Pelodiscus sinensis: one gene and its partners. The protein of the gene in region 2 purifies or fractionates together with the protein of the main gene of each other region. This does not show direct contact. Links are inferred from orthologs where the notes say so. Each region holds a gene or a part of one and is shown on either strand. Other genes may lie near its edges. The genes, in order: STK35, CTDSPL2 and PDIK1L.

The links.
Region 1: the proteins of CTDSPL2 (region 2) and STK35 purify together in Homo sapiens (affinity purification with mass spectrometry; 3 studies listed by BioGRID and IntAct, counting the BioPlex papers as one, with this or other methods). This does not show direct contact. The link is inferred for Pelodiscus sinensis from reciprocal best matches to the Homo sapiens genes CTDSPL2 and STK35.
Region 3: the proteins of CTDSPL2 (region 2) and PDIK1L purify together in Homo sapiens (affinity purification with mass spectrometry; 4 studies listed by BioGRID and IntAct, counting the BioPlex papers as one, with this or other methods). This does not show direct contact. The link is inferred for Pelodiscus sinensis from reciprocal best matches to the Homo sapiens genes CTDSPL2 and PDIK1L.

What each region holds. Positions count from the first base shown.
Region 1 is NC_134728.1:3,043,514-3,051,177, reverse strand, and holds the start of STK35 (serine/threonine-protein kinase 35), read right to left. Parts: upstream 3,073-7,664; 5' UTR 2,633-3,072; coding exon 2,206-2,632; intron 1-2,205.
Region 2 is NC_134724.1:772,503-780,055, forward strand, and holds the start of CTDSPL2 (CTD small phosphatase-like protein 2), read left to right. Parts: upstream 1-4,536; 5' UTR 4,537-4,831; intron 4,832-7,553. UniProt on the Homo sapiens protein: Probable phosphatase.
Region 3 is NC_134735.1:1,689,207-1,696,612, forward strand, and holds the start of PDIK1L (serine/threonine-protein kinase PDIK1L), read left to right. Parts: upstream 1-4,339; 5' UTR 4,340-4,466; intron 4,467-5,524; 5' UTR 5,525-5,598; intron 5,599-7,037; 5' UTR 7,038-7,054; coding exon 7,055-7,339; intron 7,340-7,406.

The DNA of each region.
Region 1 (7,664 bases), on a different chromosome or scaffold from region 2:
AGTGGGATGTGGAGGTGCAAGGGTTGGGGGTTATGAGGGGGCAGCTGTGGCGGGGCATGTCTCAGGGCAGGGGATACCTTTCAGGGAGGTCTTCACCAGGTGCAGGTAGAGCTGGCTGGGGGGGATTAGAGGAGCTGGGGGGGTCTCCAGATGGTACATTTCAGGGAGGTCTCCACCAGGCGCAGGTAGAGCTGGCTGGAAGGGTTGGGGGGGCGGTCCTACAGCACGGGGGGGGGGGGGGCTGTGGGGCGGTCCCAGGTCAGGAGGGCTGTGGGGGGGTACCTTTCAGGGAGGTCTCCACCAGGAGCAGGTAGAGCTGTCTCGGGGGGGGTCAGGGAGTGCTGTGGGGGGGGTCCCGGGCACGGGAGGGGCTGTGGGGGGGGGGGTCCCAGGCGTGGGAGGGAGGCAGTATCTTTCAGGGAGGTCTCTACCAAGCACAGATAGAACTGGCTGGGGGGGTCCCAGACTGAGTGGGCTTTGGGGGGCTCCCAGGGCGCAGGGGGGAGGCGGTACCTTTCAGGGAGGTCTCCACCAGGCTCAGGTAGAACTGGCTGGGAGGGTTGGGGGGCTGTGGGAGGGGGTCCCAGGGCGCAGGGGGGGCCGTGTGGGGGTCCCAGGCAAGGGGGGGGGGAGAACACCTTTCAGGGAGGTCTCCACCAGGCACAGGCAGAGCTGGCTGGGGGGGTTAGGAGGGCTATGGGGGGGGTCCCAGGGTCGGGGGAGGGTGACTATGGGGGGGTCTCGGGGCCGGGGGGTTCCGGGGTGGGGGGCTATGGGGGCGGTCCGGGGGGGGCGGTACCTTTCAGGGAGGTCTCCACCAGGCGCAGGTAGAGCTGCCTTGGGGGGGGATAGGGGGATTATGGGGGGGTCCCAGGGCAGGGGGGCTGTGGAGGGGGTAACCTTTCAGCAAGGTACCTTTCAGCGAGGTCCCCACCAGGCGCAGGTAGAGCTGGCTAGGGAGATTATGGGGGGGTTAGGAGGGTTAGGGGGGCTCCCAGAGCCGGGGGGGGCTATGGAGGCGGTCCGGGGGGGCTCTGTGGGGTCCCAGGGGGGCAATACCTTTCAGCGAGGTCTCCACCAGGCGCAGGTAGAGCTGGCTGGGGGGGCTCTAGGGGGGGTCCCGGGGCTGGGGGGGGCTCTAGGGGGGCGGTACCTTTCAGCGAGGTCTCCACCAGGCGCAGGTAGAGCTGGCTGGGGGGGCTCTAGGGGGGGTCCCGAGTTGGGGGTTATGGGGGGGCTCTAGGGGGGTCCCGGGGCTGGGGGGGCTCTAGGGGGGCGGTACCTTTCAGCGAGGTCTCCACCAGGCGCAGGTAGAGCTGGCTGGGGGGGCTCTAGGGGGGGGTCCCGGGGCTGGGGGGGGGCTCTAGGGGGGCGGTACCTTTCAGCGAGGTCTCCACCAGGCGCAGGTAGAGCTGGCGGGGGGGCCTCTAGGGGGGGTCCCGGGGCTGGGGGGGCTCTAGGGGGGCCCGGGGGGCGGTACCTTTCAGCGAGGTCTCCACCAGGCGCAGGTAGAGTTGGCGGGGGGGGCTCTAGGGGGGGGTCCCGGGGCTGGGGGGGCTCTAGGGGGGGTCCCAGGCGGGGGGGCTCTAGGGGGACCCGGGGGGCGGTACCTTTCAGCGAGGTCTCCACCAGGCGCAGGTAGAGCTGGCGGGGGGGGCTCTAGGGGGGCTCGGGGGGGCGGTACCTTTCAGCGAGGTCTCCACCAGGCGCAGGTAGAGCTGGCTGGGGGGGCTCTAGGGGGGGTCCCGGGGCTGGGGGGGCTCTAGGGGGGCGGTACCTTTCAGCGAGGTCTCCACCAGGCGCAGGTAGAGCTGGCTGGGGGGGCTCTAGGGGGGGTCCCGGGGCTGGGGGGGCTCTAGGGGGGCGGTACCTTTCAGCGAGGTCTCCACCAGGCGCAGGTAGAGCTGGCGGGGGGGGCTCTAGGGGGGGTCCCGGGGCTGGGGGGGCTCTAGGGGGGCTCGGGGGGGCGGTACCTTTCAGCGAGGTCTCCACCAGGCGCAGGTAGAGCTGGCTGGGGGGGCTCTAGGGGGGGTCCCGGGGCTGGGGGGGCTCTAGGGGGGGTCCGGGGGGGCGGTACCTTTCAGCGAGGTCTCCACCAGGCGCAGGTAGAGTTGGCTGGGGGGGCTATGGAGGGGGTCCCGGGGCTGGGGGGCTCTAGGGGGGGTCCCAGGCGGGGGGGCTCTAGGGGGGTCCGGGGGGCGGTACCTTTCAGCGAGGTCTCCACCAGGCGCAGGTAGAGCTGGCTCTGCTTGTTGCCGTGGCTCATGCGCTGGCCCAGCCCGTCGCGCTGCAGGACGCACTCCTCGAAGCGCACCACGTTGGGGTGGCGGCGGCGCAGGCTGGTCAGGGCCCAGAACTCGGCCAGCGCCAGCTCCACGTTCTCGGGCGCGTCGCAGCGGATCCGCTTGACCGCCAGGCGCGCGCCGCTGCGGCCCGACACGGCCTCGTAGACCACCCCGTAGGAGCCGCGCCCGATCTCCGCCACCAGGCTGTAGCGCGGCGCCCCGGGCCCGCCGCCCGCCGCCATGGGGCCCCTCAGCGCCGGGCCCCGCTCCCGCTCGGGCCGCCGCCTCCGCTCCGCCGCGGGCCTTTGTGTCCCTCGGCGGCCGCCGTCCGCCGCGGCCGTTTCCATGGCTGCTGCGCCGCGGGGGGGCCTGGCTGCTGCCGCCCGCGAGCCCCACTCCTCATCCCTGCGCCCGGGGCGCGGGGAGCATCGGCCGCCTCCAGCAACCGGAGCCGGCTGCGAACGACACCGGCCCGACAGGCGAGGATGGAGACGGGGGGCGTGGGGCTGAGTCGGCGGACAGAAAAGCGCGCCCTGCCTGCCCCTTTAAGGCTTCAGCCAATCGCGGCGGCCGAGGCGAGGGAGGCCGAACCATTCAGGGGCGAGAGGGGGGACGAGAAGGGGGAGTCCAACCCAAAAGCCCCCCAAGACAAACAAGAGCCGTTGTTCCACGCACCGCTCGAAAAACCCCAATTAGGAACCCTAGTGAGGGGGGCTTGCTAGCCTTTCCGAGCGCTGCCGTTGGCTCAGCTGCCATCCCAGTGTCTGGCTTTCCCCCCGGTGCCCAATGGTTTCTCCCCTGGAGTGTAAACACTCCCTAGCTGGCCGCCGGGAGATGGGCGAGTCCATTATTTACCATGGGGAGGGGGGTGGAGGAATAACGCACTTACTTGTCCCCTGCCCCTGACAAGCCCCCGTGGCTGGGCCGGGGGCAGCTGCCGCCGCTCGGCTGGGGGAGGTGTCGCTGCTGCTACGGGGCCCGCCCCTGGGCGGCGCAGGGGGCTGAGGGGCCGCCGCTGCTGTGAGTCCCCCCCCCCGAGCGCGGTGCCGGGCTCCGGGCGCTGCGCGCGGACAATGCGGCTGAGCGGCGGGGGCTGCTGGAGCGGAGTCGGGGCGCAGTAGCCCCTTACGTAACCGCTTATGTAACCGCCGGGCCGGCCGAGGGGGAGGGGTGGGGTGGGCAGTGGGGGGGTGAGCGGGGAGGGGTGGGAGGGAGAGAGGGGTGGGCAGTGGAGGGGGTGAGGGGGGGGAGGGGTGGGCAGTGGGGGGTGAGCGGGGAGGGGTGGGAGGAGGAGAGGGGTGGGCAGTGGGGGGGGTGAGGGGGGGGAGGGGTGGGCAGTGGGGGGGTGAGCGGGGAGGGGTGGGAGGGGGAGAGGTGGGCAGTGGGGGGTGAGCGGGGAGGGGTGGGAGGGGGAGAGGGGTGGGCAGTGGGGGGGGTGAGGGGGGGGAGGGGTGGGCAGTGGGGGGTGAGCGGGGAGGGGTGGGAGGGGAGAGGGGTGGGCAGTGGGGGGGTGAGCGGGGAGGGGGTGAGGGAGAGGGGTGGGCAGTGGGGGGGGTGATCGGGGAGGGGTGGGAGGGGGGGAGGGGTGGGCAGTGGGGGGGTGAGTGGGGAGGGGTGGGAGGGGGAGAGGGGTGGGCAGTGGGGGGGTGAGCGGGGAGGGTGAGGGAGAGGGGGTGGGCAGTGGGGGGTGAGCGGGGAGGGGTGGGAGGAGGAGAGGGGTGGGCAGTGGGGGGGGTGAGGGGGGAGGGGTGAGGGAGAGGGGTGGGCAGTGGGGGGGGTGAGTGGGGAGGGGTGGGAGGGGGAGTGGGGTGGGCAGTGGGGGGGTGAGTGGGGAGGGTGAGGGAGAGGGGTGGGCAGTGGGGGTGAGTGGGGAGGGGTGGGAGGGGGAAGAGGCGGGCAGTGGGGGGGTGAGGGAGAGGGGTGGGCAGTGGGGGGGATGAGGGGGGGAGTGATGGGAGTAAATGGAGGAGTGGGCTGTAGTGGGGTACGTCTAGACTACATGCCTCTGTCGCCAGAAGCATGTAGATTAGGCTACCCGACATAGTAAAATGAAGCGGCAATTTAAATAATCGCCGCTTCATTTAAATTTACATAGCTGCCGCGCCCAACCAACAGCCATGTCCCAACCAACCCCCACCAAACTGTACAAAGCCCCCAGTATCCTATCCCCATGCTTCTTCATTACTGCACCTGCCTAATTCATATCCTGCAGAATGAAGAGCCCCCATCCCCCAATGTATTACCTGCACCAGCATAGCCACTCCCAAGTCAAACAACTTCAGTCTGCAGCTGCACAGCCTTCTGATGGTGCCCCCATGCTGCTACTGTACACTCCTTCCTAGCCTTGAGTTCCCCATTCACACCTACATCCTCCTGCCACCTACCCCTTCCTTTTCAGGGTCTGGCCTGCTGCAGCCCACCCCTCCCCCTACACTGCCATCCACCTGCCACCCCCTCTTCATACCTCCATTCCATGTAAATTTAAATGAAGCGGCGATTATTTAAATCGCCGCTTCATTTTCCTATGTCTGGTAGCCTAATCTACATGCCTCTGGCGACAGAGGCATGTAGTCTAGACGTACCCGTGGAATGGAGGTATGAAGAGGGGGTGGCAGGTGGATGGCAGTGTAGGGGGAGGGGTGGGCTGCAGCAGGCCAGACCCTGAAAAGGAAGGGGTAGGTGGCAGGAGGATAACAGACCCTATATTTTAGCTGCACTGTCTCAAAATCCTCCTTAGCATGCACTAGTCTAAAATAGCTTTGTCTCACTCATAGCTTGCTAGACACTGCTTTCTCAAAGCCATTAATGAATAGTTCTGGACACAACACCACTTCCAGGGCTGTCCCACAGAGAGGGTCTCAGTCTGCATGGAGGAGAAACTATTGGTTAAATGCTGAGCTATGGAAGTCACAGTTTGATAATACCCAAAGCCAGAAGTCATTCACAGCCGGTCCAATTTTATCTGAATCACCATTTTTTAAAGGGGATCATAGAATTTGGCTGAAAAAATATCAGCTTTGGTCCATTTGTTATCTTTATGCAATGCCATGAATGCATGCGGTGCTTTATCAGAAAGGCTGAGGCTGAACTCTTTAAGACACATAGGATTTGGAGGCATAACTCATTTCAATGGGGACTGTGTCTAAATGCCTAGTTGGCTTTGCAAATTTCAGCCTGGGTCCATGCCTTAAAATGCTTATGATTTAAAGCAGTTGTGTCTCAAAGTGTAGTTCACGACCCTCTTGCAGGTGGGCCATAGTCTTTGGGTTTGCCCCCCCCTCATTGCCCCCAGTGGGTAGACCACTCTGTTGCTCTAGCCCCGTTCCCCCACGAGACTGGGGTGCCAGCACTAGCTTCCTGCTGGGGTGGGGAGGAGCCTCACAGGCTGGATTCAGCTTGCTGGATAGGGAGCAGCTGGGGGAATGTCAGTACAGGAAATTGTTTGTCTGGAAGTTTTCCTTGCTGCTCTCATTGGCCAGAATCATAGCCAGTGGGATCAGGGAGGAGGGGTATGGAGCCGACTTAGTACCCCCCCATCCTCATGGCCAGACTTTGCACCCCATCTTCTTCATGAACCCCTCTTTGTGCTGAGCCCCCACATGCCCACCCTGCTCCTGCCCCCTCGCTCCTGCCCAGAACCAATATTCCCCCTAACATTTTCCATCCTTGGGCAGGTTGAAATTTCTTATGTGTACCACCAATATTGAGGTTGTATGTAGATATCTGTACAGTGTGTCCCAATAAAACAAAAAAACTAGGTATAAATATATATTTTTAACAGTCCATAGGTATGAAAGACAATATATTAAAAAAGGGATAATTAACAAGGTGCAATGCTTAAAATGTTTTATTTAGTATGAAATCAAATAAAGAAAACTAACACGACCCTTGGAGTACATGTATTATTGTCTTTTCTAACAACTCAAGCTAGTAAACATACCAAAATGGGGCATGCTGCAAATAGCTATGCAAATACATCTAAGACATGTCCATTAAGTAAAAGCCTAAAAATATGCACAGCTTTAAGATGCTAAGCAAATCTATGAATCAACTAGAAATGGTCACACGCTCCTTGACAATATTAATACAATATTTACTGACACTAGAAAGGAGAATAAAAGGCATTCACTCAAGCTTACATGCTTTCTCTGGGGAATGTTTAGAATCCATGCTATGCAAATAAAACAGAGAAAAGGTCTGGTTTGAAACCTTCACCTTGTGTGTGTCTCTCTAACTCAGAGTAGAAGCTCCCAGAGTATTTGTCCAGAATCCAACTCCAGTTGAAAGGCCAAACAAATTAAACTGGATCTATGGTAAAGTTCTTCCAGTTTTAACAATTTACCATGTATTAACTAGTGACATGGGATTTTTTTTAAAAAATCATTACGATCTGAGTTTGCAGATATCTACAACACTGAAAAACCTCTTAAAAGAATAATTTTCTTTCTTACCGCAAGCCATTAACACCTATGTAAACTTTGTTTGAAATGTAATCACGCACATATTATGAGCTAGGCCTTTTGTTCCAGTATTTAAAAGCAGCCTACAAGCTTTTAACTCACCAGAATTTTTGGCACCACCCCAATACATCCTGCCCCAGCCTAGGAGAGAGTCCTATGTCTGCAGTCTATGGCTGCTGTGCTGAGACAGACAGTCTGGCTCTTGCTGTTTGCAGTCCAGATGGGGGCAAGTTAACACACAACAAACAAAATCTCCTCTATCCCCACCTTACTGCACAGACACCAGCACTGCCCCCTGCCATTTCCTCCACCTACCCCATGCAGTCTGCTCCCTCTTTCCCAGCTCAGGAAGCTAGAGGAGTGTGCTAGGTTTCCTCACAGGAAGCTGCAGTAAATCAGACCTCTGATAAGACATCTCCTCTCCCAGACACATACTGCATGCTCCAAATTCCCCTCCTGCCCCCCTCCCATCCTAGCCATGTGCCTCTCTCCTCCTTATGTCCTCTTCCCTTCAGGAGCTGGGAGCTTCTGCTGCTGAGGGTGTGCCCCTCCCCAGCCAGAAAGCTCTCTGCATGGCAGCCCTAAACCTCTGGGTGGGGCTCAATTAGCAGCTCAATTAGATCCTCCCACCCTCAGCTTGTTCTTGCATCTCCCTCCTTCAAGACCCCCCACTTCCACTCTGCTCCTGCACCCTCCCTCCCAGACCCCACACCCAGCTCCTGCACCCATTTTGTCATTACGGGTGGTTGGCTGGTGGTCTGCGGAAGGGTCTGTGTTGAATGGTCCAGGCCATGGGCCAAAAAGTCTGAAGACTATTGCTCCAGAAACGGACTGTACTGTAGTAAAAATAAGGGGTTCCAACAAGTCAGTCTAGTGTTGCACTATCTAAGCTAGAGACTGCAACCAAGAACCAAAATTG
Region 2 (7,553 bases):
AGGCAATCCTGGCAATTACAGGCTGGTAAGTCTAACTTCTGTGCCAGGCAAATTTCTTGAAATTATTGTAAAGAACAAAATTATCAAGACCATAAATCATTAGTTCTTAACCAGCAATACATGTATTCTGGGGATACACAAAAGTCTTCTAGGGGGGTCCATCAACTCATCTAGATATTTGCCTAATTTTATAACAGGTTACTACAAAGTGCTAGCAAAGCCACTACAGGCAGTTCCCGGATTACGTACAAGATAGGGACTGTAGGTTTGTTCTTAAGTTGAATCTGTATGTAAGTCGGAACTGGCATCAGCCGCTGCTGAAACTGATCAGTTTCAACTGCGGCTGAATCTGGACGCCAGTTCTGACTTACATACAGATTCCACTTAAGAAACCCAGGTGTCCCCAAGTCAGCTGCTGCTGAAACTGATCAGCTGCTGATTCCAGGAAGCCTGGGGCAGAGCAACTCTGCCTCGGGCTTCCTGTAGTCAGCCGCTGGTCAGTTTCAGCAGCGGCTGACTTGGGGACGCCTGGGGCAGAGCAGCTGGGGTGCTGCTGGGTTGCTCCAGTAGCGCGGCTCCTCGGCGCTACTGGAGCAACCCAGCAGCACCCCAGCTGCTCTGCCCCAGGCGTCCTGATTCAGCTGCTGCTGAAACTGACCAGCAGCGGCTGAATCAGGACGCCTGGGGCAGAGCAGCTGGGGTGCTGCCGGGTTGGTCCAGAGCGACGCTGCGGGACCAACCCGGCAGCCCCCAGCTGCTCTACCCCAGGGGTAGGCAAGAAAAGCCTGGTCTGCTGGGGGGGGGCACTAGCTGCACCCCCCCAGCAGACCAGGGAGATGGAGAGCAAAGCCTTGGAGCACGCCCGCAGCGGGACAGCCCAGGCGTGCCACGGCTGTCCCACTGCGGGCGTGCTCCGAGGCTTTGCTCCCCATCTCCCTGGTCTGCTGGTCGGGAGACGGGGAGCAAAGCCGCGGAGCACGCTCTCAGGGGGACAGCTCAAGCGCGCCCGGGCTGTCCCGCTGCGGGCGTGCTCCAAGGCTTTGCTCCCCGTCTCTCTGCAGACCAGGGAGACGGGGAGCAGCTTTTCTCGCCCCGGAGGACGGGGGCGGCGGACTGCGGCGCATCTGGGCGTCCCGCCGCTCCCGTCCTCTGGGGCGAGAAAAGCCCCGTTCGTAACTGCGGATCTGACATAAGTCGGATCCGCGTAACTCGGGGACTGCCTGTACAAGCTAAAATTGCATACAATGGCTTATTTGTATTGCTCTATAAACTACACACTAAAATGTAATAATATTTCTATTCTAATTTATTTTTATAATTACAGTATAACGTAAATATGAGAAAATGAGCAATTTTTCAGTTATAGTGGATTATGTCTTTTGAATTTTGATGTCTGATTTTGTAAGCAAGTAGTTTTTAGTGAGGTGAATCTTGGGGTCTGGAAAGACAAATTAACAACCTGAAAGGGATACAGTTAATCTGGAAAGGCTGAGAGCCACTGGTCTAGCCCAGTTCATTTATTTTAATGGCTTATCAAACTCCTCTAACTAAGCTTTAAATGTAAGAATCTATATAAACTTTTTTTTCACTGTTGAGAATACAAAAAATACCAGCAAACATGTACAGCAACAAACTTTGCAGCCGCTCACACACCCTCACTACATATGCGGGGGGGGGGGGGGGGAGAACAGGAGTTATACTGCTGTCAGACTCTGTCAAAATGAATGATGTATTGGGTCTACAGCACCTTCCTCCCAGGAGAGTTCCAAAGACTTTCACAGGTTAAGTGCACCAAGATATTTGCTATACATAGGGTTTTTGCTGCAATGGAGCTATACACAGAAACGTTCACTATTGTCACAAGCAGAGTAGGCCCCAACCACCTGTATATTCTGACAGCAGCTTCTGGACTAAACATTTTACTTTTGCCTCCCCAGTGTGGTCAAGCCAACAAACACCGTGCTCTTTTCTAATTTCAGTAGGAATAGGATCTGTTGTCCAAACATTGCCAGTAACCTAAAAAACACCTCCTATAAACTGTTTCTTCCCCCCCCCCCCAGAAACAGCAAAACACTATCCCCAGCCACATTAAACCAATTTTCTACTCAGAGTCAATAGCAAAACCAATGCATTCCCTCCTAAGAAATCTTCACTACAGCATATCAACAAAATATTGTTTTTCCCAGTCTTCTTAGTAACCTAAGATGTCCTCCTTTATCCATAAATTGTCCTCACCCTCCTGCTCAGAACCTACATAGCCCTCCTAGACTTTAGGCTTTGTCTTCACTAGGGGAAAATTGTGTATTCTTTACTCAATTAACTCAATGTAAAATCCTAATGAAAATATTGAAATGTATAGTTTTTACCCTAGTTAGCAGGTTGAATTAAAAGCTATGTTTTCATGACCAAAAGATTTTTTTTGTAGAAAGGAGGGCAACTAGTTATCGCACTGTAAACTCCTAGACTGGCATGATGTTGCGCAAAAGATTTGCTTTGCACAAAAGCATCCGTGCCAGTGTAGACGCTCTCTTGTGCAAGAAAGCTCCCATGACCAATTTAGCCATTGGGCTTTCTTGCGCGAGAAATTAATGTGGCTGTCTACACTGGCCCTCTTGCGCAAGAATACTTGCGCAAGAGGGCTTATCCCTGAGCGGAAGCGTCAGAGTATTTGTGCAAGAACCACTGATTTTATACATTACAAAGTCAGTGTTCTTGCGCAAATACTCACGGCCAGTGTAGACAGGCAGCAAGATTTTGTGCAAAAGCAATTGCTTTTGCGCAAAATCATGCCAGTCTAGACGCAGCCCTAGTGAAGAAAAGAATTGAGGCTGTGTCTACACTTGCACTTGCTTGACAAAACTTATATCCCTCACAGAATACTAGAACTGGAAAGTACTGGGGGGGGGGATGATAGCTTAGTGGCTTGAGCATTGGCCTGTTAAACCCAGGGTTGTGAGCTCAATTCTTGAGGCCATTTGGGGCAAAAATTGTCAGCAATGGTACTTGGTCCTGCTATGAAGGCAGGGGACTGGACCTGATGACCTGTCAAGGTTCCTTCCACTTCTAGAAGATAAGCAATCTCCATTCATTTGAAAATAATTTACCTTAACTAACTCATTAAAACCCTTTTTTTCTAGCAAAGTTAAGGCCTGTAAACAGTATCCTCAATCTGCTCACCTCATTATTTTCTCCAGTCTCTCTACAGCATCCTCCTATCACTAAAGTTTGCCTTGTTTGTCCCACTTGTTGCAGCTCTAGCGATGAGAGTTCCTATGTTGACAGGGGATTTTCACTACTGTATTGCTTGCTCCTCCTATCAGCAGTAAGCCAGGCTTCTGTCTTGACTGCGCCTGTCAGTACTAGCACTGCCACTCACTACATTTCACCTAAGGGAACTGGGGAAAGGGCTGCATACCAGCCCAGACCTGACCTCTGTGTAAATTCAAAAGCTCCTCTCACCCACAGAAATTGGTCCAATAAAAGATATTACCTCTCCCAGGTTGTGTCTCTAATATGCCCACCCACATATTTATGTCATACTCATCACAATGGAGTCTGAACCTCACAGTGCCAGAGTATGAGTCCCCCACTCATTATGGTGTAAGGCACTGCTGACCCAGGCCTTCTCCAGTGTGAGGCATCCTCCTTACAGCCCTCCCTCCCAGTGTGAGGTGCCCCCCCCACTCACGTGCCCCTACCCGTGTGAGGTGCCCCTGCCACTCACAACCCTCCCCTCCACTGTGAGGCAAAAAAGCCCTCACAGTCCTCACCCATGACACCCCTTCCCAGCTCTCCCCCCCAACTTCATCCTGGTGTGAGGAGCCTCCTGACCCACGATCCACTCCTTTCCCAGTGAGAGGCACCCCCCACTCACAGCCTGCCAACCCCATCAGTGCCAGGCAACCAAACCCCTCCCAGTGTGATGCCCCCTCACGGCCTGTAGACAGCTCCCCCCCCACGAACCCTCCCAGTGTGGGGCAGCCCCTCTCAGCTAGCCCCCCCCCGTGTGATGCCCCTCTCAGCTAGCCCCCCCCGTGTGATGCCCCTCACAGCTAGCCCCCCCCGTGTGATGCCCCTCTCAGCTAGCCCCCCCGTGTGATGCCCCTCACAGCTAGCCCCCCCCCCGTGTGATGCCCCTCACAGCTAGCCCCCCCCCCCGTGTGATGCCCCTCTCAGCTAGCCCCCCCCGTGTGATGCCCCTCACAGCTAGCCCCCCCCGTGTGATGCCCCTCTCAGCTAGCCCCCCCGTGTGATGCCCCTCACAGCTAGCCCCCCCCCCGTGTGATGCCCCTCACAGCTAGCCCCCCCCCGTGTGATGCCCCTCTCAGCTAGCCCCCCCGTGTGATGCCCCTCACAGCTAGCCCCCCCCCCCGTGTGATGCCCCTCACAGCCCCCCCCCCGTGAGGCAACGCACCTCACGGCCCCCGCCCACTGTGAGGCAGCCCCGTTGAGGCCAGCGCTCCCCAGTGAGCCCCCCCCCCCCGCGTGAGGCCTCCCGCGCGAGGCGCCCTCGCTGGCAGCTCCCCGCCGCGCGCGCCGCCCGCGGGCCGAGCGACCCCTGGCCCCCCCCGGGCGCTGTCCGCCGCGCGAGGCCCCGCTCCTCCCCGGCGCTGTCCCGACCCCCTCCCCGGCCGGGCTGCGCCTGCGCGGCGGCCCCTCTCCCATCCGGGTCCCTCCGTGCGGTGTAGCAGGTCGGTAGGCGGGAAATGGCGACTGGCTGCTGAGCGGCTGCGGAGCCCCGGCGGCGGTGTAAACACAGCGGCGCCCGCCCGGCCTGGCCGCCGGGGCCCGGGACACCGGGGCCCGCCTCCTCGGCACCCCGCACCCACAGGTACCTGACACCCCCTCCCAGCCAGCGCGGGGTCGCGCCCGGGATCGGGGAGCCAGGGGGGCTCCCTCCCGAAGTGGCCCCGGAGGCGCCCCCTCTCCGGGCCTGGCCCTGCCTGCGGGGCGGGCTCCCCTCGTGGAAAGCCGCCCCCGACGGGGGTCCCCTGTGCCGGGCGTGAGGAGACACCGCCGCGCCGGGCTCCTGCCGTCCCTCCCCACCGCCGAGACCACTCGGCACAGCCCCCTTCCGAGAGGGGCCCCGGCCCCCCCCGCCGCGCCCCCATGTGCCGGGGCAGGGCGCTGGGGGGCTGTCACCTCCCGCCCGACACCCCCAGCTCCCCCCTCAGGCCTAGGCCTGTGGTGAGACGACTCCGCCTAGAATCCCAGCTGCCTCCCCCATCTCCGGGTGCCCCGGGTTATTGGGGGCGTGGGGGGTAATGCTCTGACTTGGGCGCTGCCGGGGTGTCCTGCGGGGGACCCCCTGCTGCCGCTGGCTTTTCTGCATCCCAAGTTGGGTTTGTTTAGGGGGCGTAGCTCTCTTGCCTGCCTCTGAGTCCATGTTACACACAAACACGCGCGCACACACGGGGAAGTGTGGGGAGCGCAGCACAGGATATGCCTGTTGCTGCCTCTTGTTGCAGTTACAGTGGGGAGTGAAGCACTGGACACCGCTGAGGGGCTCGTTCTTACGGTGATCGCTCGGTAGCCTGGCATGAGCCCGTCCTGGGCTGAAGGATGTTGGGGAACTCTGTTCCTGTGCATGCCTGTTGCTGGCTCTTACTGCGGAGACATTGGGGAGTCGTGCCTGCTCTTGAATCTAATGGGGTGTACAGTGACCAATATGCTTCTTGCTGTCTCTATTGGTAATGATCATGGAGAACATAACCTTGGATGTGCTTGTTTCTGACAATGACAGGCATAATATTGGGGAGAGTGACAGTGAACATTCCTGTCGCTGACTAGAGTGATGATATTGGTTGGAGTGGTAGCCTTGTGGGGGATGCCACATTGGATGTGTCTCACTCACGATGATAATATTGGGGACCACTGCAGATGATGTCCCCATCACTGAGTTGGGTTGTATCATAATATTGGGTTGCATTGCTACACTGAATGTGTCAGTTGTTCACTTCTACAGTATTGGAGAGTGTAGCAGTGGGTTTGCTTGTTGCTCACTTTTACAAGAATATTTGGGACTGCGTCATAGAATGGGTCCAGTAGTCATTTTTGTAACAATGTTGGTGGGCTCTGTATCAGAGCTATCACTTCGTTTATCCAAAGAAATACCAAAGAATGCAGCATGGAAGGTATTTGTTCCCTTCATAATGATGATTTTGGGGGATGTAGTACAGTACCTGTTTTGCTCTGTTTTATTATGATATTTGGGTTCACAGCTTCCCTTATGTTTATGGTTCATTTTTAAAAGAATACTGAGGATCAACTGGAGAATATGCCTGTTTCTTTTTGATGATTATAGAGTACTTTCCACTCATAGTACTGTGGTCTATGAAAGGATCTCAAAGCACTTTGCATTAATTAATACATTATTTTTCTGTTGCCTCAGGCAAGTCACTTAACATCTTTTCTGGTTTCCCCATCTATAAAATTGGAACATTAATACCTCACAGGGGTGTTGTGAGGATTAATGAGTTAATGTTTGTGAAGGGCTGTGAAGTTGAAAAGACCTATATAAATGTTGGGTATTATTATTATTAAAGCGTCATGACACATTGAGTCAAGATAGTTGTATTGTACCTGTTTTAGACATGGCTTAACTGAGGCGTAGAGATTATGACTTAAACAGAATTACACATTGAATATTTAACAGTGGCAGCCGTAATTATTACATGCTGTAAGCACTAGAGAACACCACTACTTTTTTACTTCTATCAAATGGGTATACTGTATTTTCTCAGATGTTATTTTCCCTGGGAAGCGTCATGATTTTGGTGATGCTATTTTGTTTTACTTAGTTTTGGTTTTCCACATATGTCTTACCCATTTGTAGACTTTAAAAGTATCATGGCACAGTTTGTAAAAATTAGAGTTGTGTGCCCCAGGGTTTTGGACAAATTCAGGTAATTACATTTAGCCTCTCTCAATTCTGTTATTCCTGCCAGGGTATTTACACTGTATAAAACATTCTTCACTTTCATAAAGTATTGTGTGGCGTCCTGGTTTGACTTCAGGGATACAGAATAAAGTTCCTAATCATTACTGTGTTCTGCCTCAGGTATGACTGCATTTCAGAGATTTGCCTTTAGTATCCCTTTCCTGCCCCGCACAGGTTTTCAGAGTTTTAATGTTTGTAATATTATTGGAAATCTCTTGTTTAAGTGTAGTACAGAAGTTAAGAATATTATTTTATAAATGCCAGTGCATTTCAGTGATCTAAAGGTAACTTTACTTCAGCAGAGTGTACATTTCAAGATGAAACAAGCTACTGTGTGAAAATGTCTTACTTTATTTTCCAAAAGAATGACATGATGACACAGCTTATTTTCGGAATAGCCAAGCTGAGTGGTGTTCTTTGTTTCCTTTTTAATTACATGGTGCTCTTCAGTCATTTACACCCTTAATTTTTACTATGTTTGTCAGTAGCAGTCTTATTCATGATTCATATTAGTACTTACTTCTTTTCTTGACACAAGTTACCCCAATTAAGGTTGTGACACTAATAAAAGAAAGGAAATATAAAATTAAGACTGAGGCCTGTTCTATTGTAA
Region 3 (7,406 bases), on a different chromosome or scaffold from region 2:
CCCATTGACAGCTGCTGTGGCTATTCTCAGTCCTGCCTCCTTACCAGAGGATTTGCAGACTTTGGAAAAAGCTCCTGGTGACAGCATGGCCAGGATTAAACTGGGCACCGGCCCCTTCCAACACTGCGAGTCCCTTCTTTAAAGTTCTCCTATGCTGACAAAGCTAGGGTCAACTCACAGGGTAACAGGCTAGAATGATATTCCTGCAGGGTGGGGAACCGTTTTTGGGTCGAGGGCCACTGACGCTCAGAAATATCAGTCAGGGGCTGCACACAAGTGAGAAACAAACAAATCCACCCCTCACCAGCGTGGAATCCCCAATGCTGGGGGGAGGCCCTAGCCTCAGGAGCTGGATCCAGGAAAGCCAGGGGCCGCATGTGGCCTCCGAGCCTGGGCGTAATGCAACAGGAATGAAGAGTGCAAAGCTGAGAGGTGTCTGTTTCTGAGATCAGGAAGCATCCAGAGTAATTTGACTGGGGTGGGGAGGGGGCTGGACGTCACAGGGGAATGGTAATGAGAGAGGGAACTGGTCACCCGGGGTTTGCCCAGTCTAATCCAGCCCGAGCAGTTAGCAATTAACAGTCGTCGCCTTGGGTGGCTTTTTGGTGGCCTACGTGAAACGAGTTTGTGCTGAGACCCACCAATAAGCAGTTGCCCCCGTCCCAGCTGCACGGAAAAGTGGCTTTAAAGTTCTGAATTGCAACAAAACGTCAATATCACAAAAATGGTCCCGAAGTGAAAAGATGAAAAAGTGTTTGGGTCAATCCAAATATCCGGGTTTTGATCATTCCACGGTATTCCCGGGCAGGGCGGGGCTCTTCTGCAGGATCCCTGGCGCCAGCAGAACCGTGGCAGAGATGAAGAGGGTCATGCACACACAGAGAAAGAGCTTCTGCCTACGACTCTGGGGGGAAGCTGCTCCATCCGCATGCCTCGGGCACCAAGTCACAGCGCCGTACGACCACAGACCCCACGAGCCCCTTCGTGAGCCAAAGGGACTGCAGCACAGAGCGATGTGCTCCAGGGAGAGCAGGCAGAGATCAGATAGTCCAGGCCAGTTCCTGCTGTTAGCTGATGCTCTGAGCAGGGCGGATACACCCAGCATCAGCGAGCTGGGGGGTGGATATGGACTCCATTCACGCGTTGCACTAGTTCCGCTCCAACAGTGAAGCTGGTGGAACTTCACGGGGAGACGGAGAAGGCCATGCAGCCACGGCAGCAAGACTTGCAGGGTGGCCAAGAGACAGACGCCAGGTACCGGGAGGAGCAGAACCATGTGTTCAATTCACAGAGCAATGACTCATTTGACTCAGGAGCCCTCAATTTTCCTTCCCAGAGGGGGTTGTAACCCCACAGCCCGTCCCTGCAAGAGCCAGTCTCGCTCCATGCACCGTTCACTCACCTGCAGCTGCTTCTTTGAGCCAGCTACAGTTCCCCAGGCTTCCTCCTGGTGTCACCGGCTCCCACTCAAGCCCTTCTGGCCTGGGTTAGTCACATGAGCTTTGATCCCTCCTCCCATCCCAGTAGCTAGTCTGAAAGACTTTAAATATCCACAAACAGCTACAATTAAACACAAAGAGTTGACTTAAGGGAGGGATAGCTCAGTGGTTTGAGCATTGGCCTGCTAAACCCAGGGTGGTGAGTTTAATCCTTGTGGAGGCCATTTGGGGCAAAAATTCATCAGGGTGGTACTTGGTCCTGCTGTGAGGGCAGGGGACTGGACTCGATGACCTTTCAAGGTCCCTTCCAGTTCTAGGAGATTGGCAATTTAAGATCTTCCCCTTTTGCAATTGAAGGGCCTGCCTGTAATCCACTTGGCCACTAGATGTCAATACAGTCTCACTCTGGGAACCTGCAGTGCTGAAAAGGGCACTAGCTGAAGATTTACAGTATTTCCTTATTACTGGTACCAGTAGACTAACTTACAGTTGCAAACTCCCGCCCAGCCCTCTGTCCCATTGAAGTTAAAGCTCAGAATGCTTGCTTATACTTTATGGCAAGGGTGTCGTTATCGTTTATATCGGGTCAATACTTTACTGATAGATGCTGCAAATATGTCAATGTGATGAGTAGGTGGATGGCTGCTGAGTTCATTGGTGGTAGGTGCAATTGTACAAACCATTTATAAATGTACCCTTAAAATAACGTAAGAAGATAAAAATGCCCAGACTGGCTCAGATTAAAGGTCCATCCAGCTCAGTGTCCTGGCAGCCAACAGTAGCCAGTGCCAGGGGCCCCAGAGGGAGGGAACAGAACAGAGAACCATGAAGTGATCCCTCTCCCATCACCCATTCCCAGCCTTTGACAAACAGGCCAGGGGCACCATCCCTACCCGTCCTGGCTAACAGCCACCAATGGGCCTAACCTCCATGAATTTATCTAATTCTTTTTTTAACCCTGTTAAAGTCCTAGTCTTCACCACATCTTCTGGCGAGGAGTTCCACAGGTTGACTGTGCGCTGAGTGAAGAAAAACTTCCTTTTGTTTGTTTTAAACCTGCTGCCTATTGATTTCTTTTGGTGACCCCTAGTTCTTATGTTATGGGAACAAGAAAATAACTTTTCCTTATTTGTTTCTCCATATCTGTCATGATTGTATAGACCTCTGTCCTATCCCCCCTTAGTCTCCCCTTTTCTAAACTGAAAATCCCAGTCTTTTTAATCTCTCTTCATCGAGTGTGATCTCTTAAACACCTGCATACAGATAGATTATGAAGTGACTGCTGCAACATGAACCCCTTTTCAGCATTGGCTACCTAACTCTCCCCATCAATAGACTCGAACAGTACAGTGGCAAATGTGGAGGGACAGAGTGTGGCTTAACTAGATTAGGGAATTATCCGATCTCTATTGTACACTCTTTCTGCCTCCCTTAATGCCATCAATGCACTGATACTGTCTGATAGCTACTATTGCGAGCCTAACGGCCAAATTAACATACCACACAAAATAAATGCTGACTGAGTTAATCAGACAGGCTTCATCTTACGGCAAAAAAAAAGTTAAAAAAAAATCTAAAGAGTAAGATGTTACTTCCACACAATAAAAGTGGGCACCCTGTACTCTGTACTAGACTGTCCATACTGGGACCTCGGTGCAGGGCCCTTCCACTGTTTTTCCTAGGCAGGTGCTTGAGAATGTTAATGGGTGTGAGTGTGTCTGAATGTTAATGGGTGTGAGTTGTGGGTGTGTGCAATGAACACTGATCCCTGGCCCAGTCCATGTGAGAGTGTTATAGGAAGATTGACACCTGACCGTCTTGTGCTATGAAGTCCAGGGGCACTAAACATGTATGTGCAAGTGGTGCCTTTGCTCCCACATTGATTTGGGATCAAGAAGATGGGGCCTCAGGTGGCTGCCATAGCTTCTGAACTGCATGTCTTGCAGTGGCTAGTATGAGAGAGACACCACATAGTCAGGGAGTGTGTCCACACACTTCCCAGCAGGGAAAAAATGCAGACATGTCCCTTTAAGGGAAGATACCAATAGCCCTCCATCCTCTAGACAAGAGGGGGGGAAGGATCTTACCAAATGCTTGCATCCTTCAACGTGCTTGCAGTTCCCTAAAAGGCATGTCCCCATCACACAGTGACAAGGGATAACAAAAGGTGCAGTCCTCCTCCCTGGGTGGCAACCAATAAGCGACAGTCTAATGGGGGCTGCTTTGTTTTTTTTAAAAAAAGCGAAATTATGATTTTGTAATGACAAAGATCTAATTGCGGACGATAAAAAAATGAGAAATGCCTTAAAATTCAGCAGGACACTCAGCAGCTAGGAGGGACAGGCACGGTAGGTGTTTGCACAGGGGGGCTGCAGCAAGCAGGAGGCAGCAGCGTCCCCTGGGGGAAGTGGGTGGGGGAGGGCTCGGGCCAGTCCTGTGCAATTCAACCCATTACGACCGAAGAGGGCTGCACGTTGGGTTTGCACCTGGGGTGTTGATACGAGCTGCGTGGCCGCACAGCCCCCGCCCCCCTCTCCCAGCTGCGCGAGGTGCCCCCCCCCCCCATTTGAGCTGCATCCATGGCGCAGCACCCCCCACTGCATCCTACCGGGGGCTACACGAACCCGCCTCCCCCCATTCCAGCTGCTTTAAATGGGGCAGCCTCATTGCCGGGCCACTCTGGGAGCTGCACCCATGGTGCATCCTTCCCCTCCCCCCTCCCACGCATGGAACCGAGGGGGAGCATCCCACGCGGCAAACAGAGGCGCGAGCTCCCCGGGAAAGTCCCGCCCCGTGCGCATCCGGCCCCGGCCAATCAGAAGCGGCGGCGCGCGCCACAAAGCAGGCGCGGGGGCTCGCCCGCCCTTTCAGCCAATGGGGAAGCGGCCAGGGCGGCGCGCGCGCGGGAGGGGAGCCCCGGCGGCGGCGGGGGCGCGCGGAGGGGGGTGTGTCGGCGCCCGGAGTGGGGGAGGGGGGGAAGAGAACCCTATAATGGCGGCCGGGAGGAGCGCGCGCGGCGCTGCTGAGGTAACGCGGAGGCGGCCGGGAGCCCCGCGGGCCCGGGGCTGCAGCGCGGCCTGAGGGGAGGGGCCCCTGGCGCGAGGGAAACCCTGGCGGGAGGGGAAGCTGCGTCCCCCGCTGTCAAGCTGAGGGAGGGGACTGGGGGGGCGGGGCTGAGGGGGACGGATGGGGTGGGGGCGGGGCTGGGCTGAGGAGAAGGGGGGTGGGCTGGGGGGGCGGGGCTGAGGAGAGAGGATGGGGCGGGGCTGTGCTGAGGAGAAAAGGGGGGTTGGGGGGGGAGGCCTCACCTGCTGGTGCCTGGTTTGTGGGGCCTCGCCTGCTGGGGGGGGGATTTTCCTGATGCTCCCCCCTTGTCCCGGAGGGGGGGGCAGCTCTGGCCTCCAGGGAGGACTGGAGGCCTGGCCTGGAACCCTGCTCATGGGGGGGGGTGCAGTATAACGCGCCACTCTCCCCCCCCCCCCTATTTTTTCCAGGACTTGATTTAAATGTTGGGGCAGCCCATGGGCTGGAGACACCTCAGTAAAAGTCATTTAAGCCACCAGTCCCTCAGCACCCCCTTCCTTTAGGGGTCTGCTGCTCTGTGCCGAGAGCCCTCCTGGAGGAGCGGGGTAGAAACTGTGAAATGTGCCACTACAAAATATACAGGGGGAGCCTTCTACCCCCCCCAAAGCCAATCAATGTCCAGGCCCTGCTCCTATAGCCTAAAGAACCAGAACCATGGAACGGGCACGTTTTGGGGTTTCCTGTGTGGGTCAGTTTTCACCATCATTTCTGTTAACCTCACCGCTGATGGTTAACTGGGTTACTGCTTATTTAGGAATCTGACAGAGTGGGCTTAAGCGCATGGAAAGCTTATGCCCAAATAAATGGGTTAGTCTTTAAGGTGCGACAGGACTTCCTTGTGTTTGCTGAAACAGACTAACAGTTACCCCTCTTCACAGTCTGTCTTCTGGGATGTGAGGTTTGCTTAGATTAGATTATTGTATAGGCTCTGATGCCTTGTGAGAGGAGGGGCTTGTTGAATTTGGAAATCTCTTCCCCCCCCCCCCCCCCCAACTCTTTAGGACAATGGGGAAGGACAGGTGGCAGCCTTTTATTTACCTATAGACCTGCTTCTGTGTAAACTGATGTTTCAAAGGTAAATTGTGCTCCCTACTGTTTGAGCCTGCAATGACCATAGCTTTCTTTCACAACTACACTAATTGTATGTAGTTTTTTGACTATCCATACTTAATGCCTCTTTTGTGTGCGAGTGCCTTTGTTTTTGTATGTTCTTGTTAATTTACCTTAGCATTTAGTCTGCACTGTTCTCCATATGCTTATATCACAATATAGGAGCAGGTTGAATAAATATTACTATCTGAATCTCACGTTGTACTGGCATTTCTGTGGGGAATTTATATTTAAATGCATTCAGAATTGTAAACTCACATAAAAGATGTTGCTGCCACATCTCCATATATCTGCACTAATGGTGTCATGAGACGGATATCCATTATTTCTTTTATGGTGCACGCTTTGTAGGTACTTGAAAGTTGATTGATAGTTTTGCTTCAGCGAAGTAGTGTTTAGTGAATGGTTTCCTGTGGTAAATACAACTTGCCTGCGATACTAACTTCTAAAATCATTTTCATTCTAATACCCTGACTTGCTCGTTTTCTATTTAGTCCTTTGTTTTTTTGCAAGTCATTCCACTTGGCCAGTGATGATAGCCAAAGTTTATTTTCTGTCTATTTAGTGTTCCTTTCTGGCTTGGTTGCATTAGTGAGTAATGTTGTATTTTCTGGTATGTAACCTTGCAAAGAAGATCTTGGGTATGTTCCCATTTTTTAAAATATGAACATACTAGTTTTAGTCCTTCCTCCTTCCTTTCATAATGAAACTAGAATTTGAATGTAAACAATGTAGAATGTTTTTAAATATCTTGCCCAGTTTAAACTGACTGTTCAGATTGTATTTAATTTTTATAAATTAAAAACATTTTTTAAATACTCCTTTACCTTGGTACTAGAAAACCATTTAATAAACTACACCATAAAACATTTACCCATGCTGTCTGTGACTTTCCACTTAATGTAGTTTGAAACAGTGCGTAAGATCCACTAAGTATGTGCTTCTGCTAGTACCTTTACTGGAAAATGCTATAAAATGTGGGGAAAGGAAGCACTGTACTCCACTGATACTGAACAAAATGTTAAAGTAAAAGATGCTGTGAGATGTAACAGTTTTAGCCTGACCTAATGCAAGTGAAAGCTAGAAATGTTGTGGGCTTGAACTGTGAACATGTTATGATAAATGCTGGCTAACATTATATCACTAGCCTAAAGTGTAACACTTGAAAATCCTTCTTGGCGTTAATTGTGGCTTTACTGAACAAGTTTAATGCTTCTTCATATTGGTAACATCTGAAAATAATGGCTCATTACAATCTTATTTAAGTTTATTGAATGGAATCCTGATTTTAAGCACAGTGATTAGCCCAAATGATACTTAATTAACTGATTCAGAGAGGAAAAGCAGATCAGTCATTATTCATAGGATTTTTTGTCATGTGATGTTTTTTTCCCCCCTCCCCAGAACCCTTGGCCTTGAAGATGGTGAGTAGCCAGCCAAAGTACGATCTAATACGGGAGGTTGGACGTGGTAGTTACGGTGTGGTGTATGAAGCACTTGTCAGGAAGACCTCTGCACGGGTTGCAGTGAAAAAAATTCGGTGCCATGCTCCAGAGAATGTGGAACTAGCGTTACGTGAGTTCTGGGCACTTAGTAGTATCAAGAGCCAGCATCCAAATGTTATCCATCTGGAGGAGTGCATCTTGCAGAAAGATGGTATGGTACAGAAGATGTCACATGGTTCTAGTTCTTCCCTCTATTTACAGGTATGCGAAGGAGGATGGGAATAATTTTATGGGATCTGTAGCTGAACAGGAAAAGGGGGAAGATTTG